4 linked regions of the Drosophila melanogaster genome follow. The protein of the gene in region 2 interacts with the protein of the main gene of each other region in a pairwise test. Each region holds a gene or a part of one and is shown on either strand. Other genes may lie near its edges.

Region 1 (8,740 bases), on a different chromosome or scaffold from region 2:
AATAATAAAGATGAATGTGAGATATATACGAAACAAACACAATTTCCATTTAAGTGAGATTAGTCCAGGGAATATGGAAGGATCTCTCTTGTGGATAGCAATTGAACAGTTGATACAGTCAGATACACTAGAACTGGAAATGAATTCCATTTCCTATCATTTAACTAATCTGATGTATAAACGTTTTGAGTTTTTGGCTCAGAGAGAAAAGGACGCTTTACTCCGAAATCCGTAACAATAATTTATTCGCTTTAGCTAACTAAGTCATAATTCATGGCACTTAGGAGAATAATTCCACGCTGATTCCCCTAACCCGACCAAATTGCTGAATTATCCGAACCTTCGCTCTCATAATTGTCCTGCCACTCCCAGCTGGTCCGCAATTTTCCACTTTCGGCCACTTTCAATTGCCGAATCCAGCTGGCAAGTTTATCTAATTGCTTTTCGGACGGAGAGGTCCTTTTTCGCCGAAGAGGCGCCGGAAATCCGTTTCACGCTGGGCTGGCCAAAAAAGGAATTATGGATTGTGTATTTGCAGACGGCGGATTGTGATTGTACACATTGTGCTCGCCCGGAAGCGGAGTCAGGATGAAAGCGATTTGTTATCCTTTAGCTGCTGCCGTGCATCAATTACACAAAGGCCGGGAAATGTGAGCCTGTCGAGCTTTAAATCACCTGCCAGGAAGTCGCTCCCACGCGTTGGCTTTGCGCCGCTGGCTTTCGGGGCCCAGGTGCTCGATATTCTCAATAATAGAACCCCAAGGAGCCCGAAGAGCGCTAAAGTGTGCTGGCAAGCACACACCTGGCAGCCACTCTGCCCATCCGAAAGCAAACAGTGGCGTCAAATCAAATGGCAAAAGCTTGCCAACACATCAAGCCAGATCGGGGGGCCTGGTCTGGGCGGGACTCAGAGCATTCCAGTGAAATGGAGATGAATATAGAGAAGCTGAGGAGTCATGATTAGCTCAGCAGTATATGCGGCTCGCCCAAAGTGATGAACTGCGCCAGAGGCGCCCAAGTAAGCCCGAGTCCCTTGGCAGGCCAACTTGGCCAGACGGATGCGGACAGGCGGAAGGACGACGGCGAAGACAAATCCTGCAGATTTTGGTCAAGAAATGCGCACCGAAATGTGAAACCCAAATCAAGTTGAAAGCGAATGAATAACCACGAAAAGGAAAACTTCTCAAGCGAACGGGCAGCAGGCCAAACGTTGGCCGCAAAACCAAAAGGGAAAGTTTATAAGCGGCAGGCAAAAGCCAGTGAAAAGCAAGAGCATTTCATGTCAAAGAAAATTCTTGTAAAACAGGAACACAAGGTGGCATTCAGATAAAGAATGCCTTGGAGCCTACACAAAAGAAACATGTTAAATTCTTAAGACCAAGTGGATACAATGGCTCAGAACCGGACGATTTAATTGGAACAATGACTGCCGTTATCCCAAGCAATATATGGCTACCTAATATTATAATATTAAACAATGTTTCGTTCCGTTTTACAAGTAGTTCATTTCGAGAAAGTGCTAGACCGAATGATGTCATTAGGCATTTAACAACTTTCGCTGTTGTTGCCGCTTTCTCCGGGATTTGGTCAGCAAGGAGTGGAAATTGCCGACGCGGAAAGTACTTCAAAGTACCATTTGGATTGGGCAGTAAATTGCGCAGTACGGCTGCCGACTGTCAACTGATTTGTATTTCGGCAGCATCTTCAATTCCGCTGATTAAAGGGAGCCAACTTAATCAATTTCCGGCGGAGAAAGTTCCACGGAAAGGGAATGGAGCCCCAAGAACTTTCCATTCGAAGCCGACACGCGCGGGCACTTTCTACTCGCACTATATGAGTGTACAGAACGAAGAAGGTGAATGCGTCCCACCTACAAAGTTTCCATTTCCACTTTTCCGGCGAAAAAGCGGGCACGTGCTCAGCCGCACGGACTGTTGAGCGCCCACAATGCAAAACTAAAGCCTTTTTTACGGCTGCTGACGACAGCTGAAAATTAAAAAAAGTTCAGTTAGAGCCGGAGCTAGTCATTAAGTGGCTTTTGGGGCCAGAAAAGGGACGTTGAACGTAGTCGAGCCATTTAATTGAGTCAAATGTCCGCGGAGCAGGACTTGCGTAGCCACGTCACCAGCAGCGACGTCACCTGTCTCACCTGGGAGTACCCCTGAAATCCCCTGAAAGAGCTGAAACGCAATCACGGCGTCGTCAAAAATTCGCCAGCAAAAAATGCAAAGTCGAGTGCCGGGGGACTTCGCCAAATGGCTAAAAACTAAGTGCAGAGTAAACAAGAGTGCAGCGTCAGCGGCACAAAGAAAGAAGCGATTAAGTTTCCGCCACAGAGAAAATGTCCAAGAATGACGGTACCTGAAAGGAAAATTGCCAAAGTCTAGCGCTGATGGAAGAGCAAATACGAGTATAATGAAAATGGTTCGGGTTCGCATATGCGTTCTTCGCCCTTCGGAAAATGCTTTCACTGTGCCAAGATGGAAATGGTGGAAATGTCAATTCATTAGAAAATTGAAATAAGATGGCAATTTCGCTGTACAAAGGGGTTCTTCAGTGGGATTCTTCTGCTGGGACCGAAAACATTTTCAAAAACCAGGAAATGATCGGCATTTAATATAGTACGAGCTACATTGGCACCGGAGATTGTCATTCTTGTAGAACAAGCCATCCACCAGGAGAAGTGAAGTCCGAAAGGATTGTCTGGATTACATGAAAGTATAGTAAATAAAAACAACATGAAAGTTTACGATTTGATTGTAATCATTTAATTACCATTAATTTCTATGGCGAACATGGATGTTATTGAAATTCTCTTTATTTCATGACTTTGAATACAAAGGAGCCACTCAGAGCGACTTAACCCACAGTCAGGGCCATGATGGCATTGACCACATCGTTGTCGTTCTTCAGCAGCGCCTGGATCGCCTTTTTGCGCGAGCACGCGGCCTGCATCTGTACCAGTTCGATGTCCTTCGCATGTAGGCCCATGGCATCCGCGTCCTCGCCATCGTTCTCGTCGTCGTCGTCGTCGTGTGGGGACTCCTCGCCAGGGGCTTTTCCATCCTCGTTACCTTGCCGCCCGGCAGGCGAGGTTCCACGGAATCGCTCGGCCGCCTTGACAGCTGCCTGGGAGGCGACGGACGTGGTGCTAGTGTCCTCCACGCAGATCTCCCCAAAGAAGATGTACGTCGACGAGTGCGCCACTCTGTAGACGTCCGGCTGATCGATGTACAAGAGGATGTTCTTGCCCTTCTTCATGGTCACTCGGGCCACGTTCTCCATGGGCTTCAGGTCCAGCTTCATGAGGATCCGGCGTGCCTTCCGCTCGCCGCGAGACTGCTTTGATACCTCACGTGTTCGCACGGCCACCGTACCGAGTTGACCCTGCTCGTCCGGTTGGGTCTCCTTGGGATCCGCTTCCACGAGATCCGGGGCGTCATCGGAGTCCGTGCTCTGATCATCCTCAACTACGCAGGATTTCGCGGCGGAGGCGCCCTCCTCCTTCTGCGAGTTCGGCAGACTGAACACATTGGGCGGCAGCTGTTTGGCCAGGCTCATCAGCTTCTTGATCTTGTTGCGGTAGGCCGGGTCCATTTGACCCATGATGTGGGGCTTCCCCTTTGCGCCACTAAAGCCTGCCGGAGGTTTATTCTTGACATCCAAGGCGTCTTCCGAACTGGAGATCTCCTTCTGAAGTGCCTTTGCGACGTTTGGTTTTTGCGTTGCCTTGGGCTTCCCTTTTTTTCCACTGCCACTTGGTGAGGGAGAGGCTTCTTCGGCAGGCTTTTCTTTGGCCACCACGTTGTCGGCAGCGGTCTTCGATTTCTCGGCAGCGGTCTTCAATTTCTCGGCAGCGGTCGCCATCTGGGCAGCCTTCTTCATTTTCTGCTTCTTACCCATCTTGAGGAATAAACAGCAACTGAGGGATTTGCGATCACAGATTTGCGAGGACAACTTCTCCAAAAAAATTTCCAAATTGGCAGCGCACGTGGTGTGACCTCTTGCGGGAAAGACTTGACAGGAAATATCAGAGGTGAAACTTCCAGTGGCTTGACAGCTGGTGTTGCTCTCTTCGATAAGTGCTGTTGCGAAATTTGGTATACTTATCGAAAAGTTTTTTCATAATGAAAACTGGAAATTTTTTATGCTAATGGCACCTAAATAGCGAAATAAACAATATCAAGTGTTGCTTTCGGAAAGATTATAAGTTTTTAAAATGGCCACTCGGCCATTCGAACATGCAGAGCACGCCTAAGTCTATCGATATCGATAGGTCCCAGTGCAATCGTGAACTGATTATAGGCGTTAGCAGCGCTGCTCTGAAGAAAGTTGGTATTTTTCAAACGAGAATGTCAGCTGCCTTCGAACTGTGCACTTAATTTCGCGGTTATAAAAGTTTTGCTGCAGCGCCTCGCAAATTCTATCGAAATTGATGATTGCAAATCAATCCACTGCAGTGACGTGCTTGAAAATTTTCACCTGACAAAGCCAGTTTAAAAGTGGTGGAGAAATGAAAAGTTCAGCGGTTATTTGGGTAATATTCGAATATGCAAAGTCGTAAAACTCGGATGCCCGGAAAATGCCAAAGACCTGAATCTGAAGCTGGTTCCTCCGTGTTAATTGCTGTCGTGGTCGCACCGCAGTCTGCCTCCAAAGCGGAGCAGCCCCACAAACACGACGCGGTGGAGCAAGCGCGGTTACACGTGCGGTTTTCCTTGCGGTTTTCCGGCTCCCGAATTTCCCAGATCAGGCGGTTCAGGGCGGGGCTGTGTGATCCTGTTTTGCGTTCTGCGTGTGGCGAAAAAACACTTGCTAAGTGCATTAAAAAAGTGCCACGCCCTATTAGGGCGCTCTTCGTGTTACGGAAATTACATCACAATTCGAGACAACCGTACAATAAGAATATGAGCACGTATGGATCAAATCCCCAATGGAGTTAACATAACATTTAGCATAATTTTCATGAATTCTGACCTTTCCTATTTCCTACATAACAGGTATGTGGTAATCGGGAGCATGTATTGCATTTTTTCTGCAAGCCGCTGCGCTCTGTCTGATGATGCGTTTTTAATTGCTCGGTTCTTTTAATTAAAGTTCGAGCGAAAGAAGGGCGTCCACCACCTGCAATTATTAAACTTTATCGTGGGGTCAACGCCTAATTGAGTTGCACAAATTATTCAGGAGAGGCGAATGAAGCAGCAGGAGGAGGACTAGGAGGATGTGGAGGGCAGGAGACCGAGGATGCATCCGGCTGCCGCCGCAGAGTCTGTCCTGTCACCATAATTAAATTCGAGAGGCCAACTAATCAGATATTCCCTTTGCCCAGCCATGAGTCCTCGCATCTTAACATCTCGGTCGATTCGATTCAATGTTGCTCGGTTAAGTTAAGTTCTGCGCGGACTTGGAACTCGGAGACCCGGAGAGCCGGAGAAGGGTGAAAAGTTTTTGGGCGTCCTGGCACGTTCGTCCCATGATTAATTATCCGCCCCATATGCTGCGGTGTCATCTGGGCCCATCCAACTTATTGGGGCTTAGTCTTAGCCTCGAAGTTTAGTTTCTGCTGCCACGGCCTGTGCATGAAAAATGAACCCAATTCGGAGGCCCACCAGGACGAGGTCTTCACTCTCCTTCAAGGCAACGAGGCCCACAGAAGCCGCTTTCTGGGGGCAAAAATCTGTAACGCATTAATCATGCAAGTTTCGAGAAATGATTGAAATCATATTACCATGTCGTAGACATGTTATAACCAAAGATGTTTCCGTAATTGAGATCTTGGCCAAGGCATTCATATTGTGCCTGCTCGAGAGTCTCCTCTTCCCGCTAATGAATTTCATTGCTGATTGATGCTTATTTGGCTTAATTCTATTGTTGTAAGTGAATCAGCAGTCTTTGCTAGGAAAACTATTTATTAAAGGAGTTTGTTTTAGTGAGTTTATAGTGAGTCTGCAAATTAGTTTCGAATAGCACCAAGTTTTTATACATCCTGATGCCGTAGCAAATTTGTGGACATACTGTTTGCACTCCCAATAAAGTAGAAACCCAATTTGTTTTTAGCGTTGACAAGGTCATTTCACTTGGTACCTTGTTCGCTTGATAATTTGACGTTTATTTTGTCGATGGGCCAATCTGGAATGCCACATCTTTGTGCTGCTGTTGATGAGCTGGAATCCCGTTTGGCAGGCGGTATGGCTGTGCCTTCAGAATGAAGTAAACTCTGCCGTCATCCTCTTTCAAAATATGTCAGCCTTGAGCGAGGCTGACGCGCTTATCGCCAAATGACCGAGACGATATCCAGAACCCAGAACCAACAGCATTTCCAGACCCCAACCACCTGCCCATCACGATTTGGAGTCGCTGGAGCGGCAAGGAAAATCAATTTCCCCTGCCGACTGCCAAGGGCTAAGCGAAGTCTGACATTTATTACCATATAAAGAGCAAGAAATACTCGCTAAGCATTCGGCAGCCGGAGCAGGGATCACTGGAGGCCACACCAAGCCCGCACAAAGAAGGAGCAACTAAAAAACCGGAAACTGCAGCGCGACAAATGTGCCCAACCAGCAAAGATTCCAGCCAGCCCCCAGCCCCCAGCTCCTCCAAGGCTTCCCTTTGTGCGCATTGTGTGAAAATATGAAATATGGAAATGCCGGAAAAGCGAAAAGTTGTCCCTGGCACAATAAAATGCAATTTCCCCGAAGAGGCAGCCGAGGCAGCGCCACCGAATATACATTGCTAATTTCCGGTAACAACAATAAGGAGCACCCGAATCACTTGGGCTGTACTCAGGAGCACCACCCACTTTGCGGAGCAGCAGCAGGTCATTAGTGCAAATTCCTGCATAAATTTGTGTAGGGATTTATGAGCCGATGGGAATGGGTTGGTGAGTGCGACATTTCTCCCCCCTAAAAAAACTAATTGAAAATGGAAGCATTGTTTATCCAAATGAAATCTGGCTTCGGGGGGCTCAAAATAGTTGAATGGGGTATAGTATAAATTAACATATTAATATAAGATAATAAGTAATTGCGAGTAATTGTGTCCTCGGGTCGCCATTCTTTTGTGTGCTAATTAATTGGTTTCCCCTCTTGCAGGTGTGCCGATTATCATGGCACGCAATGTACAACAACGGCAGCAACATCCATGCACCACAACTGAAGAGCCAAAGCACCAGAGAGCACGCGGAACAGCCGGGCACCAGGAGTCGGCGACGGGAGAATGCCAGCAGTTCTGGTCTAAGCAGCGACCTCCATTCGACCAGCAGCAGCAGCAGGAGGACCAGGATCCGGAGCAGGATCCGCAGCAGCACCCTTCGACGCCGCAGGAGTCAGTGCATCACCACCGAAGTCCGCGCCAGCACGAGCTACTGCACCACCAGCGCAAGGTGCCGCCCACGCTGCCCGCCCGCGGTCGTCATCTGATCAGCGAAGGCGCCCGCCGGCGCGAGGTGCGTGGCTGCGGGGCGGGTGGCGGCGGCCTGCTCTGCTGCAGCCTGGACGCGCTGAGTCGTCCGGCCAAGCTACTGCAATTCGGAGTCCTGCTGCTGATCCTTCTGCTCGCCACGCATGGAGATCTTGCTCAAGCGGAGGGCAATGTTGGTGAGTGTCCCCTACGAAATAAGCAAGTCACTAGCACGAAAGCAGAGGCAGATGGCAGATGGGTAAGGGTTCTTTCTATTGCAAATGCGCCGAAGAGTATCTAAGATACCTTATCTTTCCCTAAACCTTTAGATAGCTTTGGCTTAGTTTTCACCTTAGTTAGAGGTGATGTAAGCCCAAATTGATAAGTTTTGAAGTTATTTTTGCCCTAATAATCCAATAATCTAATTTACGCGTAGCAGAGGAGTCGATGAAAGGCGTACCACAAACGCAATTAGTCCCTGTTGTCCCCCAATTTCCCATGGGACTTATCACGCCTCGTGTGTTAACTTTTTGTGTGTGGCGGCGAAAACATAAACCCGTTTAATTAAAACTTTGGCGCACGGAACCGCACACGCAGCAGTAGCAAAACATGACTTTCAGCCCGCTCCCCGGACGACAAGATGGCCCATGTCCATGTCGGCAAGTCCTGGGAGCTGTGCAAATATGTTTTTAACTAGTTTAGCCCGCACCACGCATAATCCAATTGGCCGGGGCGAGCCATCCTGCAACTGCATCGGCCAACTGCTGTTGCTGCCGCTGCAATTCAGGCCAGGAAATGGTCTCTACGGCCGGAACCGACGCCAAAGCTGGCTAAACGAGTTACGCCTGCCGGACAAAACTATCATGTGCAACAGGCCTCCAAATGTTTGTTGGCAACATCGTTTGGGCCACTTACGGATGGAGGTGAATCCAGTTGTGTGTGACTGAAGTTGATTGATTTTTGCTTTTGAAGAGCCAGAATTCAGCAAACAAAATGTATATTTACTGATGTTTTAGAACTTCGAATATTCCTCTATAAAAGTTGCACATAGTTCACACCCCAATGGTTTTAATTTCTCTCTCGCCCATAAAACATTCAAAATGTATTCGCGCATTCGATCTAACAAACATTTATTGCTTATGAATATTTTAAATTTATTTATTTTCTATTTCACGAATATACATATATACATACAATATTTGCAGAACATTTGTTTACTTCCCCAGCTAAATTGTTTAGATATACCCATAATTGCATATAATTCCTATTCGTCAACGGACTTATTAAAATGAAACTCTCTCTACGCCGTTTGCATGGCTTCTTTTCCGGGATTCGCTCGTCT
Region 2 (8,686 bases):
AGGTTACCTCGTTTCGCAGACACTGGTGGCGAAAGTTAAGCAAAGAATTTTTGGCAAGGACAAGGAATGTGAATTTGGCATGGAATAGGGGACTTGGAAAGGGAACGAGCGATGCAGAATAACTCTGCTAAGAACTCTTTCCGAAAACGAATCGAAAATATTGATATAAGAGCCTCTTAAAATAGATTACAATAATTGAAGAGCACTGAGGGCGAACTTTTCCCCTCCTTCCATTGCGAACTTCTCGCCAGCTGCTGACCCCATGACCTCTTTTGGAATTGTGAGAAGCGCGGCGGAGGGTGCAGTTCATAATTGCCGTTTCAAGAGCATCGCAGTTCGCAGTTCTCAGTTCGTAATTGTTCTTCGACCAGAATCGAATCGAATCGAAACGAATCGAACGGAATGGAATCCTGTGCTGTGTGCAAGGACTTCTTTTGAGTCCTTGCTGCGATACGTGCGTGTAGTGTGACCAGCTGTTGTCTTCGCCAAGCTCGATAACAATCACCAATGGCTTGTTACAATAACTACAGGCTGCGTCTTTTGGCGAATGGGACCTTATCAGTTACGGCAAAGTCAATTTAGGGGTCCAACACATGTCCGGGTTCGCACGATTCAATATTAATAAACACTTAAGCCGTGTGTTAGGGACAGGGATAGTCGACCGCAATACAATGTCCTCGAATCGGTTTGCCCGGGATGTGGCCATATGCCCGGGCGACACATGTGACTTAAAATGAATGGCATCGTTTGCGGATGACAGGCGAGGACCACGACCAAGGAGCCATCAGGAAGTAGAGAAGCGGGAACAGAAGCGATGTTTCCACATATTAAATTCACGCTGCCTGCCAGACAGTTGCCAAATAATGCGTATTTCATTAGAGTCCAAACAAAAGTGGCGACAATATAGCACAGGGCAGACCCACCCACAGCACTCTGGGATCGATACAAGTAGGTGTTGCGGATAGGTCTATTTTTCACTCAGCCTAATGAGATGTTCTTATGGCCCATTCATCTTCATCCATCAACCATTCGCCGCATCAACTGGATACGGCATTCTTTTATGAATTATTGTAGATAATGTTCGACAATAGTCATCAAATCGGAATGACAACTTTCATAAACGCCACTATTTCCAGAAATTTCCAGAGTTCATCATGGACGAAGAGGCAAAAGGCGAGCGACATAATCCAAATACCATTTGAACGTCTTTCCATTGCTTTTTTTTTTTTTTTCTTCAAAAGCACTCACATTACATTCCAAGGTAAAGTAAGCCACTTGGTGGAATGGCATCAGCTTAGACTTTTGGATACTTTTGATACTTTTTGAAATCCAACATTAAGCTCTTGGAAGCTTCAGTTCAGACCAACAGAAATTTTATATACCATAAAAATATCAAATAAAAATGCCTCAGAAGCATCGCCTTGACAATTTTAAGCTTTTATCATCTTCAATGGGTCTCTACTTTTTTATATTTATATTATTCTGGCATGTCTACGAGTATATGTGCTTTTAAAAACGCAACAAAAACGAGGAACTCCTATGCGAAATGTTTCATTTTGGTTCAAATGATTCAATTCTATTCTATATAAATATATAGGCAAATATCATACAACATTCCATGGGTATGTTTATATCTGCTTAAAATTTGTAAAATTTTCCACGTGCCAAAAGCGACGGGAAATACGAAAACAATAGGCAGATTTGCCACATGTAATTTCACCTTTTTGGTTCTTTGAGGCCCATATTTGGCTGTCGAACAATGTGCGGATTAATCAGTGTTAGCCACAGCCAATTTGGCTTTTAAGAATTGGAATGCGTATGCATTGTAGGGAATCTTGTGGGAAATTAAAGTGCAACACCCCATCCCCGTTCGGAAGAGCGATATCGTTGGTTTTCGTTGGTGTCTGTCGACAGACCATAAGTCCGCCCGATTTGGCCCCGATTCCATTGGGGAAACTCGCTACCAATTTTGCCAGAGTGCTGGCTCCCAGTTGGGATGAAGGCCATCCATTGTTGCCTCGAAAGCAAAAGGGGGAATAGCAAACGCAAAAGCAAAAGCTGGGACGAGAACAAGAGCTTGGGTGCTGATCATGGGGGATGTGGATACAAACAGGGGTGCAAAATTAATTATACACGCATGCATAGACAAAGGATACGGGGGAGAGCAAGAGCAGGAGCAGGAGCAGGAAAAGGAGCTGTGGCAGGACCTGGAGCAGAGGGAGGACACCTCATAATAATCACTGGTGGCATGTGCTAATACGATAATGGGCAACCAGTTGGCAGATTCCACATCCCCCCGGGATGTTTTTCCGTTTTTTCCTTTTTCGCTATCTGTTTTATTACCTTTTTGCTATTTATTTATTACCACTAAGAACACACACCATACACCATTCACCATACACCATACACCATACACTACACACTTATACATATACACACATTTCATGTTCCACATATACAGCACATCCGGTACGCCCACTCGTGTGCTCCGCCAGCTCCACCCTACCAACACCATCGCACTTTGAGGCTCCATAAACAAATATATTAAATTTTAATGCTTAATTTATGTGCAGATTAATTTCGTACATTTTTCGAGGCGCAGATTAGTTTTTGCCGCCCTTTCCACCTCCGCCACCGTGGAACGTAAATAGGGGCGTGGCATTTCCTCTTAAACGTTTACTAAATTAATTTTGCTCGGATTTCTTGTTTAATGCGTTCAAGAAATGCGGCACGAAAAAGCATTCAAGAGATCAAATGGATCTTTAAGCGACTCAATAGTTTATTAACTTTTCCAATCTTTAACTAAATGTGAACAGGAATTATGTTAATAAACATCACTTAATTTTAGAAGGATTTTCGGTTTTTGTGCCTTGTTTTGCGGCTTATAACAATGCAAGACGATTTTAGCAAATTAATCATTCGTTGGCCATTTCCCCAAATAATATTGACTAACTCTAAGAAATTCTAGAGAAAAAACATGTAAGGTATGCGAGGTATATGTACGTTAATAGTATGCGATTTATTTAGCAAATTGGTACAAATCTAGCAACATATGAATATGTCTAATCTTCGTCCTCGGAGACCTGAGCGCGTTAAGTCTTCGGATTGAGCTGCTCCGCCTAGGAATCATAGCCATCGGAGTAGAAAGATAGGTAAATCGACTCCTTACTGTCATCGTCCTCCTTGCCGTCGGAATCATCGCCGAAACTTCCCAGCGAATCTTTGTCGCAGACGACGGTCCGATCCACATCAGACTCATCCGATGGCACCTTCTCATTATCCGGATCGCTACCATCTTCAGAGGAGATCAAAATTGATTTACCATTGCTAAGCTTCGGCTCCGAATCCCCGCCAGCCATGGCTGCTTCCTCATTGTTTTTAGAGAGCATCATTTGGACCTTCTTGTTGCGAGGACGAACACGATTGCGCAGCTTCTTGGGCTTCTTGGCCACCACCTTAATGGTTTCCTCTGATTCTGGCTTTTTGACGGAAAAAGCTTCCGGCTTGGGTGTCATGGGTGCCATGGGTGCCATGGGTGCCATGGGTGCCATGGGTGTCTTGGGTGCCTTGGGTGCCTTGGGTGCCTTGGGTGCCTTGGCTGCTTTGGCCATTTTCGATGGGCCAGCTGTTGACGATTTGCGCACGAAATCGCCATTAACAACTAACAAACCATTGGCAGAGATGCCCTGAACCTTGGGCATGACTACCACAACCTCACTGGAATCGGTGAACTCGATGGTCAACTCATGGATTCCGCTGATATTCTTTAACGGTATCTTGGCCAATGTCGCCTGCACGCGCTTCTCATCGACCGCAGCTACTGATGGGATTCTCTTATGCTTGCGGCGCATAGATCCTTTGCCTCCGATGCGCACCACCTCCTCCATGTTCTGTCGCTTGTTGAAATCCATTGTTTTGTTAAGAAAACCTATTAACTTGTATGGGTAAAGTGCGTGGAAAAGAATTCTCTTGAAATGCTCACCTTGAAAATTCTGTGCTTTGCAAATTTATATTTTAATTTATATAATATTAAGTAATATCCGCTCCGAGATGTGAATCAACTGAAGTCCTCACGCCAAATCAGAAATGTGACTTGTAGACTGCAAAGTCATCGTCTTTTTTTTTAAAAAGGGTTGCCAGGGCTTTGTCATGTCCTTGCAAATGGGAACTCTAGACTCTAAAATTCTTATTATGTTCGGCTGGCATAATAAGTATTAGTGCTTTTTTTCATAATAAATTATACAATTTACAGCTCTGGTAGCATAAATATATTTTTTTTGAAATATATTCATTTTTTTATTTATAATAGATATGTATTTGGTTGTAAATTGTGATGATAGCTATTCCAATTATTTGTGGCCGATTAATTATTCTCTGGCCATTTCACCAAATAATTTTGACAACTCTAAGGTATTCCATGCGAAAGAGAACACGAAAGAGAACACGAAATAATGACTGGCAAAAACTTAACGCAGCGTAAGAAATCACGTTCTTGTGAGATAAACATTTAATGAAAATTTTACAATGATTAAACATGTTTTATAAGTATTTCCAAAAAATTTAGAGAAAATATATATGAAGTGCAGTATGTACGTATATAGTATGCGATTTATTTAGAAAATTGGTACAAATGTAGCAACAAATGAATATGTCTAATCTTCGTCCTCTGACACCTGAGCGCGATAAGTCTTCGGATTGAGCTGCTCATCCGCGGAATCATAGTAATCGGAGTAGGAAGATAGGTAAATCGACTCCTTACTGTCATCGTCCTCCTTGCCGTCGGAATCATCGCCGAAACTTCCCAGCGAATCTTTGGCGCAGACGACGGTCCGATCCACATCAGACTCATCCGATGGCACCTTCTCATTATTCGGATCGCTACCATCTTCAGAGGAGATCAAAATTGATTTACCATTGCTAAGCTTCGGCTCCGAATCCCCGCCAGCCATTGCTGCTTCCTCTTTGTTTTTGGAAAGCATCATTTGAACCTTCTTGTTGCGAGGACGAACACGATTGCGCGGCTTCTTGGGCTTCTTGGCCACCTTAATGGACTCCCCTGATTCTGGCTTTTTGTCGGAAAAAGCTTCCGGCTTGGGTGGCTTAGGTGGCATGGGTGCCTTGGGCGCATTGGCTGCCTTGGCCACTTTCGATGGGCCAGCTGTTGACGATTTGCGCACGAGATCGCCACTAACCACGAAGAAAGAATTGGGAGGGGTGCCCTGAACCTTTGGCATGGTTAACACAACCTCCCTGGAATTGGTGAACTCGATGGTCACCTCTTGAATTTCTCCAATATTCCTCAACGGTAACATGGCCAATTCGGCCTGCACTCGTTTCTCAACCACAGCCGGGGATGGATTTCTCTTGTGCTTGCGGCGCATAGATCCCTTGCCGCCGATGCGCACCGCCTCCTCCATTTTCTTCAGCTTCTTGAAATCCATTGTTTTGGTAAGAAAACCTATTAACTTGTACGGGTAAAGTGCGTGGAAAAGAATTTTCTTAATATGCTCACCTTGAAAACTCTGTGCTTTGCAAATGAATATATTAATTAATATAATATTAAGTAATATCCGCTCCGAGATGTGAATCAACTGAGGTCCTCACGCCAAATCAGATATGTGACTTTTAGACTGAAAAGTCATCGTATTTTTCTTTGCGTTTTTGACACGTGCTAAAAGGGTTGCCAGTGCTTTGTCATGTCTTTGCAGATGGGAACTCTAGTCTCGAAAATTCTTATTATGTTCGGCTGGCATAATAAGTATAACTTTTTTTTTTCATAATAAATTATGCAACGTACAGCACTGGAAATTTGTAGCTTCAGTAGAACATTGTCAAATATATTCATTTATTGTATTTAAAAAAGATATTTGGCTGTAAATTGTCAAGATAGCTCCTGCGATTAGTGCTTAAGGGTTACCACAATTACCAGAAAAAAATTCCATTCAACTATCGATATATTGTGAATGTCAGCGGTCTGCTGAGTTGGTCACACTATTCTCGAAATTCTAAGGAAAAGAACTTAACCTATGGGCTTTTAGTGATTGTGAGGATCCATTTGTTGCTGAGATTGGAAAAAGATTGGCCAATTTACAGCGAAGCAAGGGATGTACGACCAAAAAAATTACACTTAAAAAGCAGGTCAGTCAAAAGAAAAGAAGGGCAATGAAAAAATGAAAACACGTGGTTGACGCTTATGACAGTGGGCCACTTTTGGCGCCACTCCTGGCCAAAAATTCATGCCCAGTGTTAACCAAACAAAGTTGCTGTGGCCATTTGTCCATCATTTCGCTGCCGGGCTGATTAAATTGCCAGATTTTCACTACTATGGCTGTCATTTTGTTGTTACTCCCCCCCCCTCGAAATGACGTTGTTGTTTTTGTTGTGGCCTCGTAAACATTTCAGTGCAATAAACGTTTATTTGATTTTATTTGTTTTAATGCGGCGAGGCGACCTCAAGCCCAGGCCCAAACCCAAACCCAAACCTCAGCCCAGACGAAACCAAACCAAACCATTTCAGAACGCCTCTTAACTGGGCTCAGTTTTGGTTCAGACCGGCTCCTCGCTCAGCGCTTCAGCCAATTGCCAGTGGCTGTTTGCTTGGCACAGTGGAATGTTTTTTTCGCAGTCACTGTGGCCGCGTAAAGAGCTCGCGGCATTTTCCTCCTGCTGCTCATTTGTGACTGTGTGTGTGTGTGTGTGGGTGGGCGGGTGTTGCAAGGCGGAGATGGGGGCGTGTATCTGTGCAAGGATGCCCATTTCCTCCATTTCTTTTTGGCACCAAAGCCGCAGTTGTCAATAGAAAAAGGAAGAAACGGAGAGGGAGAGAGAGAGAGAGAGAGAGACAGTTGAGGAAAACTTTAACTTTGCTGCTGCACTTTTTGGTGAAATGAGAAAGTGCAAAAGTGGGCGGCGGTGGAGGTGCTGTGCTCAGTAGAAAAAACAAGAATGCGGTCATTGTTACGTTTATAAACAGAATAAAAGAGCGGGCCAAACTGAGATGCACACACACATACTACCAAACACATACTGACCGCATTACCAACTGCCAAACTGACCGGCAAAAAGGTGAATGGGCCAAAATGGAGGATGGGCCGCAGCTCAGCCTCAGCATTTTGGCCGATATATTTTCTGCAATGCTGCACATTTAAGCCAAGAGGAGAAGACTCCAGGCTCACCTGGCCCAAGCAACGTAGTATATATTTTGGTCTTTGGGTTTTTTCTTCCAATGCTCTCGCTCTCGCTCTTGAGTAGCATTTCGTTAGATAATTTTCGATTTTTTTTTTTTCTTTTACTTGTTTTGTGATTTATAACAAGTGCTGGGATGCCAGGTTGCCGTGTTGCCAGGTTGCCAGGTTGCCAGGATGCCTGGAGGAAAACAAGGATGAGGCTGTCCGAACTAGAGAATCCAGGCAGTGGCATAATCTACAGTTTGTGTTTTCAATGACTGTCAGCAAGTGCATTTGGAGTTATGTCAGCTGGAGCAGCTCTGTATGTGTGTGTGTGTGGGAATTTCAGAGAAATCCAGACAGTGAAGCAGGAAGTGAGAAAGAGAGAGAGAGAGAGAGAAGGAAAGGCGAGTGGGTGAGGAATGGAGTGCCAACTGGCGATGACTGCATCCTGATTGTGTTGACCACAGTGCCAAAGTGCCCTGGCATCCTGGGGAGCGGAACTCAATCGCCAGTCACAAATGACAAAAATTGTAGCACCAGATCTCTGCTCTGCCCAAAAAGCCAGCCAACGCAATTGGAAATCTAAATGCACGGAAGTGTTGATATGGGTTTTATTTCAATTTAATTGGTATCTTTCTAGTTCCTGTGAATTCCACTAGAGACAGAAGAAATGAATGCAGAACAACAAGAATATAAAGTTATGTTAGGATAACATTCTCAAATCGATAACCAACAAACGAACTACAAGCCAACAAATGTTGATTTGAAAACACGTAAATATATTTTTGTGTTTATTTAATTACTTAATGCATATATAATAACTTCATTTATTTTACAGATCGTTATCTATAATTCTACTTTATATAACTATTCATATAATACTAATGAGGCTTGCCGTTAAATCGTATAAATATGGGTTTGATTACAATTCCACTTGAAAATAGTATACAAAATGAGTGAGTATGTTACAACATAGATTACCTGTGTGTAAGTAGCCTGTCAGCAATTGAAATTTCGAAAAGAAAGCAGCCGTCATGTGCACGTACATATATATCCCCAGTTTTTCCATTCCCCCTTTTAATTTCCCATTTCCATTTGCTTTTGGTCCACAAAGCAGCAGAGCTGTCAACTGTTTGGCGATAAACAAAGGACCAAACAAATGAACAATTGTCACCTTCTTCTCTGTCTGTGGCCTTCAACTTTCGCAAGGAGTGGGTGGTGTCAGTGGGTTTAAGGGACATTTCCGCCCCTCGCCCCCTTCGATTATCACAGATGAGCAATGGATCTCACACATGTGCTCATCTGAAAGCTCACCAAGTGGAAGGTCCCTTTCTTCAATCAAAAATATCCAACCTGTTTGGCATTTCACATAAGAACATTTCAATCGAACTGAAACTTTGGTTTTGATTCCAATTTTCGATTTAATTTCATTTACTTGGCTTTCAAGCTCGCAGCTATGTGTAAATTACTATAACTTAATTGGTACATTTTATAATACTTTTGATAAAACTACAATC
Region 3 (5,777 bases), on a different chromosome or scaffold from region 2:
CCTACTGGCACACTTTGGAAATCAACACCAGCGGCCGCTATGTCAGCGGCGATGTCAAGCACTTTGAGAATGGAACCATCCTGAGTGCCAGCACCTCGGAATGGGCCATTAAACAGCAGTTGTACAAGACCAACGACACATCTGCGTTTGTAAATCTCGGCAGAGTGCTCGCACAGCGCTGCCTGCAGTCTGGGATCACGGAAATGACCTGCAACGTGGAGGCGGTACCGGGTAGCAAGCTGCAGAAGCTGCTTCAAACCATTCAGGATAATGGGGTGTCCTTCAAGGAACCCTCTCGCCTGCCCAACGAGCAGCCCTGGGATGAGAAGAGGCATGAGAAGCCCTGGGAGGTGTCGGAAGACGCACTGGAAGCACCCAAATCAAAATAACCAAAAGAAACCACACTTAGTTATCGTTTCGTTTAGAATAAACGTTGATTATTATTGCTAATTACAACAAATCATGTTAATTTATTCGTATTTGCCCTTGATGTCCTTCCAGAGTTTCTGCAAAGCGGGGAAATCTTGAGATTTGGCCAGGAAACTTTGCTTACATAACAGGATTATACTTACGCCTTTGTTGATGCCCTCGAAAATCGCAACCGACGTGACATCGAGAGCGCGCTCGAAGAAAAAGGCCGACGCGATGATGGCCACGGCGTAGGTGGAGGTGCGCTTGAACAGGGTGTTGTAGATAACCTTCATGTTGGCTAGATTTTTGTTAAAGACGTCCGATTTGTTCCCAATCAAACTTTTTCCACACGCCAAACTCACAGCTGATTTGTTAGGTTGAGTTGACAAGCAGTGTTGGAAACGTCCTGAATCTAAATACTAGTGTCACTCCGCCTATCGAAATTACGCATTAGTGCTTATTCTTGAAAAGTGTTTTTAATTGAGGTCGAAGGTGTTTTTTGTTGTCTTTGAAGCGGTCACACTGGTCGATGGGGCAAAAACAAACGATTTGTGAATATGCCAAATTACCAGGATATTTAGCGTAATTGGGCCTTATCTGCGTGGACCATGGACATAGGCACTATTGAGCTGAGCGTGGAGGCGCTGATAGGATCCCTGCTGGCCCTCAGTATCCTCTTTGCCTTCTGCCGCAGCCTGCTTTCCGAGGACTTTGTGAGCACCTTCAAAACACGTCACAGCTGGAAATCAATAAAAGTGTTGGAACAGGTGAGCGGATTCACTTGCCGCGAAAGAGATACCATAGGATACATGCCCTTCATTCTAGGCCTGCTTCTGCAATGTGTGCGAGATCCTGCTAACCCCCTCCGCAGGACTCTTTTGCGACTGCTGCGGCCTGTGCACCCATGCCACGCCCCCTTGCCAGCGGAGGGCGGACAGGGAGTACCGGTGCAAGGACAAGTGGTTGCGCAACGAGTCCTCCGTGCGGCACTTGTGGGTGCATGGCAATCTGCCTATGGGAGTGCATTGTGCCGACTGCAACGAGGAGGTGGATCACCATGTCAGCACCGATCCAGGATTATACGGATGGCGATGTGCATGGTGTCAGCGGTGCTATCATAACGATTGCTACACTCGCGCTGACTCCATGGAAGCCTGCGACTTGGGCGAGTTCAAGGACATGATCTTCCCGCCATACAGCTTTGTGGCCGCCCGAACCAGAGACTCGATGCGGCTCCACTTGGCCAGCATTACGCCGCCAGACATTGAGAACTGGGAGCCGCTTATTGTGATCGCCAACACCAAGTCGGGCAGCAGTACGGGTGCCAATGTGTTGTCCCTGCTCCGCGGTTACCTGCATCCGCTGCAGGTGATGGAACTGGGCTCGAGGGGTCCGCAGGACGCCCTGCAGTGGGCCGCCAAAGCCAGTCCTCGCCCGTGTCGCATACTGGTGGCGGGCGGCGATGGCACCATCGGTTGGGTGCTCAATACAATCTATACGCTGAATATCAAGCCCCAGCCCTCGGTGGCCATCATGCCGCTGGGCACCGGCAACGATTTGTCGCGAGTTCTGGGCTGGGGAGCAGAGCCGCCCTCTGTTCTCGACCCGGTGAAGATCCTTAGGAGCATACGGCGAGCACGTTCCGTGAATCTCGACCGCTTTGACCTGCAAATAGAGAAACTGCACTATCGACTGCCTATTCAGAGGCATCCCACGAAGACGATTCATGTGTACAACTATTTCAGTGTAGGTGTGGATGCGTACATCACTTACAACTTCCACAAGACGCGCGAATCTCGATTCTATCTGCTCAGCAGTCGAATATTCAATAAGGTAGGCTACAATCTAGTGTGCTTACTTAACGTTAACTAATGTATCCATCTCGTCAGCTGCTGTACTTTACCTTCGGAACGCAACAGGTGATGCAACCTGGCTGCGAACACATCGAGGAAAAGCTGACCTTGTATCTGGACAACAAGCCAGTGCAACTGCCTGAGCTGCAGGCGCTGGTGTTCCTAAATATCGACTCATGGGGAGCTGGCTGCAAGCTCTGCGAGCTAAGCAACGCCAATGGTGAAGTGCGCATTGTAAACTCCATCTCCGATGGTATGATGGAGGTGTTCGGCATTGTTTCCTCTTTCCACATTGCCCAACTGCAGTGCAATATAAGCAAACCAGTGCGAATTGGCCAAGCCAAGCAAATAAGGGTAAGCCCTGCAGTGATGGAACCGAATATTTGTTAACCAACAATCTTTTTTTTAGCTACAAGTCAAGGAGACCGTGCCAATGCAGGCGGATGGCGAACCCTGGATGCAGAGTCCAGCGGATATTCGCCTCTCCTCGCGTAGTCAGGCCCGCGTCCTCAAGCTGGCTGCAACCTGAACATTAATAGCTAATACAGAATAGAATCCCTTATGTGCCAGTCCCTAATCTCAAAGTACTTAACCTGGAACCTCAATGTATACTTAATCGAATTCGGTTAGCAAGGCAAGTAAAGACACCCACACCACCTAGTGGAAAACCGAAACTAGTCGAAAAATACACGCAATCGTATTTGATTTGAAATAAATCCATTTTTATTAAGACGCAATCTTTTGAAATATAATTAAATGTTCGACTGGTGTAACATGCTGCCCCTTGAGGGGCATGCACAACATTTGGGTCAGTATTATCGAAAGGCGGGTAAACAACAAAATCAGGAGTGCAGCTAACGCTGAAGCCCGCTCTAAAGCATAGTAAGCTCCATGATGGCGTTGACGATGTCATTGTTGTTGTTCTTCAGAGCCTTGATCGCCTTGGCCCTCGTCGTGTTGGCCTGCGTGATGACCAGCTCGATATCCTTCTCATCCACGCCGGTGTCATCGACATCCTCCTCGTCTTCCTCGGCAATGGGGGCCACCGATGTGGTGGCGCCCACGCTGTCTGCAGCGCCAGCAGCCTCCGGGGCCTTGAACTTCTCGGCGGCAGCCACCTGGGCCTGTTGCGACAGATCCTCGATCTTGGCCTCACCGAACACGATGTAGGTGTCGCTGTGGGGGTTCTTGTACACATCTGGGTTGTTGATCACGAACAGGATGTTCTTCGACTTCCTGATCGTCACCCGGTTGACGCCCTGGATCTGCTTAAGTCCCAGCTTCAGCATGATCTTCCTGGCCTTTTTCTCGCCGCGCGATTGCTTGGCCTTTGAGACGAGGTCGATGGGCAGACCGGTGGCACCTCCACCCAGCTGTGTGGTGGCCGCTACAGCCTCCTCCAGACCAGGCATGCCACCATCGGAGTCGCTATCACTGCCATCATCCTCAACGCGGACGTCCTCGGGTTTCGCCTCAGCGGAGGTGGAGGGCGCAGCCTCGCTCTTGATTTCGGTCAGTTCGGGCATTTTAATCTGTGGGGAAGCAAGTGGAGAACACGAGGTTAGGTAATTGCTTTGCAAATAGTATCAATTATGCTAAGGGAAAACATCTGGTGCCGGTTCAAAGGCTCAGCGATGTGTCTCAGCGGGGGTCAGTTGGTATTGATTTTTCAAGTTCAATTGGAAAATCAATAATTCGCTACCCCCGTAGATCTAACTCTTAACTATGATATTTTACATAATTTAAGGCGCTAATTCACTGATATTTCGGCAAAAGTTAAATTGAAGTCGAAAAATGCGGAGTACACACACCTACCGGAAACGAAGAAAAGAAATATGGCGGAGGGGAGTGTGACTGTCGCTTAGCACGATTTTTCTTAAATCCAAGCGATATATTCTGTCAGTGTGAACGTATGCGTATGAAGTATGACAAATTCAAACTTTGTGGCTACTCTATTTCATAATTACGTTACTTTCAAAAAAATGACAGTTTCAAAATACATTTTTAATCTTTCACCTCTATAGTAAAGCACTATGACTAAAAATTTATAATTTAATTTGACTATCAAGGCTTGCTGAAATAATCGAACTATAAACAATTATGGGAGTAGCTTAAAAAGCAATAATATCCCAAGAAACTAGTTCTTTTTCGTAATTATTCAAAGCAAGTGTTAAATATTTTTTCAAAGGTGTAGTTCACTGTTTGGGTCACCTTTGCTTGCAATCTTCTACTAACGTAATATTTTAGTTTTTGATAATGCAGTTATAATTTTACATAAAAGAAAAACATTAAAAACAAATTGATAACACCGCAACATTTTAAGTGGCTTACTCAAAGGGAAGGAAAGGAACATCACAGATTAGGCTCAGTGGCATGATTAATTTCTGCAGTGACTAGCAATAACTGCACTGCTTAAATAGTAAAATTAAACGAATGAATGGTTTCACAATCGAATGTTTGACGGCTTTTCTTCCCCACCCAGTCTGTCACTTGAAGATGACGATCTTCAGTTTGCCAGTGCATTCTACAAACGCTTCTCGAAGTGCTCCTTCACGTGCAGACGCCTGGAGGAGTATTTAATTAATTGAACATGCCTGATAAGGCGAGTGCCTCCACACTCGGTGCATGATTTCACTTACAAATTTGACTCCGCTGACTTTGTTAGAGGAAGTTCACCGAGAAAAATTTGATACCAGTTTATTGTCATTTATACTAGTATTTGTAAAGGTAACTTGGATATTCGATATAAGTTTTTACATGAACTTAAGAAATTGATAATATTAGTTAAATTTTAATTAGGTTATTTGCATATACTCTGGTCTTTCGAAAACAATACAACATAAAAAATTAGGTCATGTTTCGGGATAAGTTTATTTGGCCAAGTTGAAATATCTTAAATCTTTTTTATAATTACTTTAATTAAATTTTCTTGTGTATCAACCATCTTTAGACACGTCTGGTTCGAAAGACAAAGTCCAGAGCTACTTTGTGGTAGGTTGGATGGGCGATTAGATCAAAGGAGACACACGCCAGATGACTGATCCCCTATCGCCATTAGATAACGTTCCGTTTGAGTGGCCACTCCTGGAGCTAATAAAAAGCACGACTGTGAAGGGACTCCTCACAGTGAACGCTGTAACGTTCAAGACACCAAACCTCCGAAATGAAACTACCAATCCTTCTGATAACCCTTGTGGCCATGGTGGCGGCCAAGTCCGCACCTGGTCGCATGGCCGCCCGGTACGACCACTTCCGTATCTATCAGCTGACCATTGAGACGAACTTGCAGATGGAGGAGCTTAAGAAGATTCACGAACACATCTCTGTAAGTACATACAAATTCCATTCCATTTCTGAAAATCATATATGTATGTCTTGACTTGATCCAATTTAAAGGTGCACTTCCTCAACGAACTGGGTGCTGTTGGAAACAAATACAATGTGATCGTTGGTCCCTTGTTCCACAGAGCCCTCGAGAAGACCCTTAAATTCCTCGAAATTGTTTACGAAGTG
Region 4 (8,716 bases), on a different chromosome or scaffold from region 2:
CGTGTTACCATTGCTAAGGTCCGCCTGTGGGGTGGATGGTGCTTCCGAAGTGCCACCTTGACTGAGTCGTCCGTTCACGTTGGTCCGACTCTGTGTTGTTAGTTTGTCAAGAGGTACACAACGCACGGAATCCGTCTCGAGGCGGTTGGTCACTTGCGTTTGGTTGGAAGTTAAGATACGGCGTATATTCTCTGGCAGGTCTTTGGCGCTCCCATTGATGGTCACTTGGGCAGAGGAAGCCCCGGTAACTGGCTCTTTCGGTACGGTTTCCTTGTCGTTATTATTGTTCTGCCCATTATTGTATTCATGCGGTGTTGTGACAACCGAGGAATGCAAATCTGCATCGACAGAAGCAAGGGGAGCTGAAATAGGAGCAGGAGGAGTTTTAACTGGGGTCACCGTAGTTGAAGAAGGCCATTTCGAGGAAGCAGAAACTGTAGCTGGGGTTGGAGTTGTCGCATTTCTCTGCATGGCTCGAAGCTCCAAGCTACAAACGAGCTGCATGATTTTCGACTTGCCCTCTGCGGCTAAATCCGGCGGCAGGGACTTCATGGTCGGCGAAATGCTGTCAAAGAAGAGATCCATTACATGTCGTGGCTCCGGTGGCTTAATCGGTGACACTGTCACCGATGGCGGCGCCTGGGCCATAGACTCGTTATGTGCGACCGACTCCCGTTCCAAAGTTCGCAAGCGTGTAACAATATCAAACGACGAGCATATCATGTCCCTGGCCATGTCCATTTGGGAGCGTTCTTCCTGTCGCTTGCCCATTGAGTCGCGAAGGGCGCGTATTATGCGACGAACCTCCATTGAGCGTCGGGACCGCTTCGCCAGCGGTTCCGCTGTGCTGCCATCGGATCTAAGTAGCCATAATGAGTGTGGTTATTAGAAACGCTTAATGAAGGGATTTCGAATTCTAAACTCACCGAACGCTCATATCGTTTTCGCTCTCCTTGTCCATTCCAGACTCCTGCCTTTCCGCATCAACGGTGGAAGTGGGACTAACTGATGGTGCATTGGCGGCAGCGGCGGCATTGGCCCTTTGCCGCTCCTTATTTTCGACGTGCTTACGCGAAGCGTCGTGTTGCCGCAGGTAAAATACCTTGATCGGCAGCCGGCTATCACAAACACGGCAGTGACAGTGATTCTCGTCATTGGCATCAGGATCCAGCCAGTCGTACTTCGCTTGCAGCTCTGCCATAGCCGCTTTCTGTCTAGCCTCGGCGCTGGCCAAAGCCGAAGCTGTGGCCACAACAGTGGATATTTCACCTGAGTTTTTGTTCGATGTTTTCAAAGGGTTGCCACCATTGCGCTTTCGATCAATGCGGAGGCGTATGTGTCGGGAAGTCCTCTGGTGCTTGGAGGCCCACTTGGATGAGGGCAGGTAGAGAGACACTTCGCACAGCTTGCACCAAGCATAGTTTCCACGCTGCTCGTTCTTTTTGTAGGAGAGCCACGGGAAGCGGCCCTTCCACACCATAACCTTGCCCTTCATGGTTGCCGGAATGGGCTTGACAAAAAGCTTATTGTCCGCTCGAGCAGTCTTTCTTGCCTGCACGGTGCCCAAGTCGAAGTTGCTTTGGGAATCTTCTTCTGCGTCCTCCTCTTCTTCTCCATATTCCTCGTCCTGTTCCTGTGATTCTTCATCATCCTGCGCATTATGTTTAGTTTGCGTGTTTGTGCCCTGGTGCAGTTTCGCTTGCCGCATTTTGAACTGCTTTACCAGCTTTACATGCCGGGCACTCAACTCATGCCGCGCCTTTGCCGCTTCGTTGTGAAAGCGCACGCGGCAGAATTTGCAAATCTGAGTCTTTCGGTCCTTGGAGTAGCAAAGCCACGGGTAAAAACGTACCCCAGCGCGAACCGTGGCCTTTCTTGGCTCGCTAGAGGACTTATGAGCAAAACTATACGAAATTATTATTATTAAAGTAAAAATTAAAAATATTTTAAGCAACATACCCTTTTCCGAGTTTTTGGATCTCGGACCAATTGTCATCGTCATTATCTTCGCTGTCATCGGTCTGCGATGACTGGGCTTGATCACTTGCCGCCGCTTCCTCTTCATCCATGTTATCGCCGCCTCTGCCGTCAGCCGAACCAACTTCGATGCCTGCCTTGGCGCTGGCCAAAGCCAAGGTATGCTTCTCGGATTTTTCGTGATTCTTGCGCTTGATCTCTGAGTTTCCATACATGAATCGCTTGCGACAGACGCTGCAGTACCCAATGCTGGGGTCTTCGGGATCAGCAATCAACCAAGGATGCATGTCGGCGAACACGGCCCAAATGCCGCGAATATCTGAAGAGCTGAGGTAAAAAAGTGAAAGCAGTTAAAGAACAGGTGCTATTTACGTTCTGTAGGAGTGTCAACTCACCCCTTTTCAGCGGGTGTCGATAGCATGTGACAATGAGCTCTGGTTTTACAGTGCCGTAGGAAGCTGGTAATCGCCATTGTGCAGTTGCAGAGCGTACATCGGCATTGCTGTGGATTGGTGTCCGGAATCAGTGCACACCACTTGCCAGGGTCGTCGCCTGAGTCCACATCGCCGTTCATCATAACCACAGGGGTGTCCTGAGCATCCTCCGGCCCAACTTCTGGTTCAGATTCCTTCTCTCGCTCGGCCTCATCCCCGCCGCTATTGGTCACGCTGTTGCTCTTGCTCCTCTTTCGCTTCCGACTCCGCTTATCGGAATCTAGGTTGCGCAGTGCCTCCATGTGACCTTTGGTGGTTTCGTGGCGCTTGCGCAAATAGACAAACTCCACGTTCATTCGCACGCTGCAGATGCGACATGTCCCGATGGTCCCTGTGGGCATGGAACGTTCAAGCCAAGGATGCCAACGGAGCCAACGCAGCCAGTTGAAGTTGTTAAATGCCTCGGTCTCGGAGATTCGTTTTTGCTTCATGGCGGCCACATAGCTCTTGGTGCCGAATTCGTGCTTGATTTCGTTGTCGCTGATTCTACGGATAATTGGGAGTTAATAAGTGTTCGCAAACTTTCGGTGATCTCAATATGATTTCGGTATTTCGTTTTTTAAAGGTGCAAATCTTACTAACATTACGAGTAGAGCTACCCTCATTGAAAGCAGGGAGTGTAATATATGTAAAATCTATTCTGAACCGCGACCAAGCCTATCATACACCAGTTTCTTTGTGTCAAACAATTGCTACACGTTGGAAAATTAATGCGGACTCGGAGCAGTGCTCCCTTCATTAAGTTGGCAGTTTTTTTCACACTACAGTGGGCTTTCTGGATTTCGGTACAAACCCTTTACAAAGTGAAAGGCATTTGAAGAGTTGAGCTTTTACTTTATACGGCGGATTAATTAACTTGATTTCTCCGAATTTTAGATTTCTGTACTCTTTTTTGTAATCTTTAAAACTGTGACACTTACGCTCCTCGAGTTTCCTCCTCACTTTTCTTGAATGCCAGATAGTTGCACTCGCGTTCCTGGTGGGAGAGCGACACGTTGTGCTGTTGGATGTGTCTAGAGCGGTTGTTCACGTTAATGGATATGTTGCAGTAAAGGCAGAACGCTAAGGTGCCATCGGAGTCCTCGTGTAGGATCCAGGGCCAACGCTTCATCCAGAGGAGCCAGCGCTGTGCGCGGGGCATCTTGCGGCGCATGCCTCCGTCAACGCCACCGCCATTGCTGCTTTCGTCATCCTCGTCGTCGTCATCCTGGCTGTCTCCCGGATCATGGATTTCAATCCTCTCCAGCAGGCCCATGGGATCGTGGTACGAATGGGAGCTCTCCGCATCGCTGGAGGGTTCAGTTTTAGTGGACATGGCATCGGGTTCACGTTCCTGGTCTTCCAGGAGGGGATCCTCGCTGGCCTGTTTGTCGTCTGGGTTATTTAGAGCGGACTGTAGCTCGGCCACCAATGGAGCATGTTCGTCATCCATGATGTCCTCAATACACGGGTCATCCCGCATCGGGTGCTTGTCCTCCTCCACCACCATGGCCACATCCCCATCGTCATCATCCACCACGATGACCATGGAGGTCTCCACTTCCTCGATGTGATCCGGATCCACCAGAGCACCACCCTCTACGTCCATAATTTTCAGCTCGTGCGTTGCCGACGCTAAAGTTTCTGAATTTGCAGACGCCATTTTGAGGTCTGGGTTGCATTGAGCATCTAGGTTTTTCGCCTGCATGCTCGAATCCCGATCCATCACGAGATACTGGTTATCCAGGCACTTTGCTCTAATATTTGTTAGCTTTTGGGAGATCACAGTATACGGTTATAAACTAAAAAAATAAAAATAATCGCAAGCGAAAACTCAGAATCGCTGTCAAGGCGATGGCCAATGTGACCGTACTGTTGCATTAAACCGGCGGGCTAAGGACCATATACTAAGGAAGTTCAAAAAATACATAAAATGCAACTGAGGGACTGGACTGGTCACTTTATTGAGAACGGTCTTAAAACGTACTGTTCATAGTATAACTGCAATTATTTATTTAATAACTACATGAACATTATGCTTAGAAAGCATATAAAGAAATTACATGCATTAGCATATGATTCATATATCGTTGAATATTTAAAATAAAGTGTGTAGAAACAAACAACCGGTGTGGGTGACAACTCTTACAGCATGTGCAAAACGGGTTATGCGGTATTTCTATGCATGTGCGCACGGTCATACCTCACTGGATTTTGTTTATATTTTGGAAAAGACTACCCAAATGTCAAACCTCCAGTTAACTCAGGAAAAACTGTGAGTATACCAAAGTAAGAGACCAGGGTCTTATGTTCACTGACTATATTCGCCGCCCAGAGATGCCCTACGCTCCGAATACAGGCCACGCCGGCCGTGCGCCCTGCTGAAATATCCTCGACCCAAGACAAAGCCGGAGTACCAGGCGATATATCCGTGGTTGCTCCCGGATGAGACGGATCCGCACTTCGTGTTCTGCGCGGTGTGCGAGTGCAGGCTCAGCTGCAAGAGATCTGATCTGGGAAAGCACGAGGGTAGCATTAAGCACTCGGAAAATGCACAAAGAAAATCATTGCCAGCCAAGGCAAACAATTCGAGCTTCAATGGATCCAGCTCCGGTGCGATGAAGTGGGAGGATACCGAGGACGAGGAGGGTCTACTACAATACGGAACAGATCCCCAAGACGACGAGACAGAAGATGAGGAGGAGGGAGAACTTGACGAAACAGAGGGCGACTGCGAGGACGATGAGAAGCGGACTCAAGAACTGGAAGCACAAAATGATCTCGAAACGGAGCCCGTCATTAAGCAGCAGCGCCGCACTTCGGAGACCGACTCACAGAATTCTGGCATGCTGGATTATCTGCCACTACACGTGACCATCAACGAGGGGCCTCAAAGTCTTCCGACCACTGTCTCCGCCTATCCCACATCCTCAGCAACAGCAACAGTAGCTCCGCCATGCAGGATCACCATTAAAAAAGTTCCAGTGCACAGTACTCCACTCAGTGGGATGTGCCAAGCTCAGGAGATCAATTCCAAGGCCACCATAACGCCTATACACACGACGCCCTCCTATGCTGCCCGCCCGCTGCAATCTTATCAACTGCAACCATTGTCACCTATAACGCCACCGCGCGACTCATTGGAGCTGTTCTTCGACAGCATATGTGCCACCGTCAAGAACTTGCCGCCCAAACTGGCCACCGAGGGTAAGATCCGGGTAATGCAGCTCATTGGGGAGCTCGAGTTGCGTGCTCTTTGCGAACAGGAGGCGCTCTCTGAGGTCGCCGGACTTCCGGATCTCGCGGGAAACTCCAGGTCTGGAGCAGCTGAAGCCTCAGGCAGTGGTCAGCAGAATGCGACAGTGGCTTCTACCACCAAATAAATTCACCTGGACTTTGGAATCGGTTCCAAACCGTGCTCAATACGGCAATTAGAATATATGCTAGTGCTTTCATTTTTTAATTTTGTTAACTGATTTTCATTAATAAAGTTATTTATTAGTTGTTGTAGTGTGGCGTGCATTTATTCTTTAAATCTATCTGATGGTGTTTTTGTTCTATGAAATGGCTTCATTACATTTCATCCGTTTAGAAATTTAAGTGCCCAATAAATGGGCTCATTAAGGTATTAGGTTCGCTTTAATATTTCACTAACTGCATTTCAAAAAGTGTTTTCCTGACCTTGGTTTGCCAGCAAAGTATAAATTGTGAATTTTCTCAGAGAATGATATCACGGAAGAGCTGTAATCAATGGAAACCACTTCTTGTGTGTGGGTAACAATTGTGATTTACTTATTGTGAATGATACAAAGCGAATTCTCTGAAGGGTAAATATTACGCATGTACAATACCATGTGATAAAAAGTTTATCGCATGATAGTTTAATGTATGTTCTGTAGGTAAAGATAGTAAAAATCACTCCATCAGGCGAATTTATCAACTGTAACGAACAAACAACATGTAATATCAGATTGAATCAATCAGAATCAATCAATTGAAAAAATGCCAGTAATTATAAATATAAGTTAATAAATCTTTATTTGTAAAATTGTAAAAAATGATTGAAAACAAGAGTTATCAGTAAGGCACTTAGTTAATTGATATTGGGGAAATATCCCCCTTAAAAAGCTTGCTTGCCCTCTAACATGGCTTTCCCGCAGTAGAACGGGAACTGGACTCCCTGGAGCAGAATGTCCGATATGCCCTGCGAAAGTAAGAAAACAAATCGGTTAGCAATGTTTTTCCAGGCAATGGGTGTGGGTGGGTCTACATATCGGGGCCAGCTATCGCGGTTTCCCATAAGCTCCGGTTGTGGGTCTGATAAGTTCCCCAAATGACTAATGGGTTAAACATCTTGACGGCGCGATAAGGAAAGTGCCTCATGCAACCAGCAGGTGAAGCAGGTAAATTGACTCACCCCGCCATATAACTTCAAATGCTGCTCCCCAAAATAGAAAAAAAACCCACTTACCGTCAGGGCGGGAATGCAGGAGGCAAATGCGTAGACCCAGATGTAGAAAAAGGCGCAGAAGAATGCCACGAAGAAGGAGACGAACCAGAAGACCAGCAGCCAGAAGACGAACCACAGTGGATTTGGCATCGTGATGAGTGGTGTTGTTTGTTCAGAGCGATTTCAGCTGTGCGATAAGATAAATACAAGGGATCTTATTAGTGGAAAGATCCATAAAAAACTGAAGCTTATCAGTCGTCTTCTTAATAGAGCATATCTCATTAAAAACTTCAAGACTTGGAGCTTGCTCGAGCATAAAACTAATTTCTGCATTTCGTATATTTTTAATAAGCAAAACACATGTCATTAATTTGATATGCGCCTTAAAAAAGTGACCTCATAATATTTTTAATGAGCTAACAAATTAAATCTTGCATTTCGATAGAACACGATTCTGATAAACCCCACCTAATTAAAAGAGCTTCTAAAACGTCACTTCTATTTCTAAATCATTTTTTCCATCGCTGTATCAACGTTCCCATTTAAGATAGTGAATGTCAAGTTATTCGAGCAAGTAAATCCTTCAGTAAACCCCATTTGTGTTTGCATACCACACTCATTTATAAATAGTTTTTAGTCATATGCAATTTCAAATTATATATTATATAAGTAGACCTTGAGTTAGGCCTTTGAAGATTACTGAAGTTTGAATTTTAGTTAATATCTTCCTTCACTATAAAATGATTAAATATTCGGCTTTCTCCTAAAAATACTTTTTCACTTTTTAGAAAATATTATTAAAATATGCATACACTCAGGTTTTACCACCGAAAAATGCATTTGAATGGCTTTCTTCTGCATTTAGATTTCACTTTTGGGTCGTGACAAACATACTAACGACCGATTTGGCTCGGTTTTGAGACTGATTTTAGAAACACTGACGTCAAAACTGATTGTGACCAAAATAAGGCAAAAATAAGGCAGAGTATGAGGTCGAGGCCTCGACCGCCGATTTCGAGCCGAATTCCACGATCAAGTGGTGATTATAGTACTCTCAAAACAAGTGTCGTCATTATGCAAATCACAATGCTAGCGAGCACTGCACTTGACGGGGTGTGTCGTCTTAAGTCATCGCCCATCTTAAGTCATCATAAAAACAATTGCAGATCGCCCACAAACCGGTTGGCGAAATTAGCACACGGTGAAATTCGGATTAATTAGACCAGCCGAATCTGAAGTATGCGCCAATTAATAGGCGTACGCCAACTATGCGTAAGTATTTTATAAATACTGTATACCACGCACCCACGTATTTAAGATCGAAAACAACTTAATAGCCGAATGCCAGGCAGCCAAAGGAAACAATAACAAACCAAGTAGACGATCGGATCGGAGGTCGACGTCCGGGGGATTCGAGAATGGAATGAAGACTGAGAAGCGCAAACCGGCGCAACAAGTTGCATGCCCACTGCAGGCAGGGTTGTCACCCGTCGCACTGCCGACGCGCACTTTCGAAGGAAAGCTTCGCGAAAAAGCTTTTGGCAGCGAGGGCCGATCTGAGAGTTAAGCAAAGTATTTATTGGGTTACTAAGGTTAGTTAAAAGAGAACTCAATCTTTTTAAACCAAATACATAGATAGTCTTTGTGTAAGTAGTATTTGTGTAGACAGTATTTGTGTAGATATTATTTGTGTGAAAAAAATAAACATTTTTTCGAAACAACAGTCAATAACAGTGAACACAAAAGGTACGGAAAATATTAATACAATTTTATTAAACTAATTTTATTACATTTGTCGTTATCATTCGTTTATACT

The links.
Region 1: the proteins of betaNACtes4 (region 2) and gNacalpha interact in a two-hybrid assay, tested with the Drosophila melanogaster proteins (one large-scale study listed by BioGRID).
Region 3: the proteins of betaNACtes4 (region 2) and Nacalpha interact in a two-hybrid assay, tested with the Drosophila melanogaster proteins (one large-scale study listed by BioGRID).
Region 4: the proteins of betaNACtes4 (region 2) and Ravus interact in a two-hybrid assay, tested with the Drosophila melanogaster proteins (one large-scale study listed by BioGRID).

The regions. Positions count from the first base shown.
Region 1 is NT_033779.5:1,032,542-1,041,281, reverse strand, and holds gNacalpha (germinal nascent polypeptide-associated complex alpha subunit), read right to left. Parts: upstream 4,037-8,740; 5' UTR 3,904-4,036; coding exon 2,860-3,903; 3' UTR 2,776-2,859; exon of another isoform or gene 2,749-2,775; intron 2,704-2,748; 3' UTR 2,597-2,703; downstream 1-2,596. Other genes in the region: IA-2 protein tyrosine phosphatase, read left to right, coding at 7,092-7,595.
Region 2 is NC_004354.4:14,375,732-14,384,417, reverse strand, and holds betaNACtes4 (Nascent-associated complex beta-subunit-like, testis 4), read right to left. Parts: upstream 4,068-8,686; 5' UTR 3,983-4,067; intron 3,929-3,982; 5' UTR 3,912-3,928; coding exon 3,120-3,911; 3' UTR 3,002-3,119; downstream 1-3,001. Other genes in the region: betaNACtes3 (Nascent-associated complex beta-subunit-like, testis 3), read right to left, coding at 4,653-5,441.
Region 3 is NT_033778.4:12,756,726-12,762,502, forward strand, and holds Nacalpha (nascent polypeptide associated complex protein alpha subunit), read right to left. Parts: upstream 4,275-5,777; 5' UTR 4,080-4,274; exon of another isoform or gene 4,076-4,079; intron 4,068-4,075; exon of another isoform or gene 4,002-4,067; intron 3,800-4,001; exon of another isoform or gene 3,797-3,799; 5' UTR 3,791-3,796; coding exon 3,137-3,790; 3' UTR 2,968-3,136; downstream 1-2,967. Other genes in the region: mRpL18 (mitochondrial ribosomal protein L18), read left to right, coding at 1-389; ox (oxen), read right to left, coding at 471-506, 573-704; Dgkepsilon (diacyl glycerol kinase epsilon), read left to right, coding at 1,020-1,178, 1,237-2,244, 2,301-2,618, 2,674-2,793; CG12374 (uncharacterized protein), read left to right, coding at 5,428-5,589, 5,661-5,777. UniProt on the Drosophila melanogaster protein: May promote appropriate targeting of ribosome-nascent polypeptide complexes. Required for correct localization of the osk/oskar protein to the posterior pole during embryonic development.
Region 4 is NT_033777.3:13,259,976-13,268,691, reverse strand, and holds Ravus (ravus), read left to right. Parts: upstream 1-4,630; 5' UTR 4,631-4,693; coding exon 4,694-4,725; intron 4,726-4,785; coding exon 4,786-5,833; 3' UTR 5,834-5,959; downstream 5,960-8,716. Other genes in the region: Su(var)3-7 (suppressor of variegation 3-7), read right to left, coding at 1-859, 927-1,904, 1,960-2,304, 2,373-2,957, 3,392-4,176; CG11686 (uncharacterized protein), read right to left, coding at 6,571-6,654, 6,922-7,050.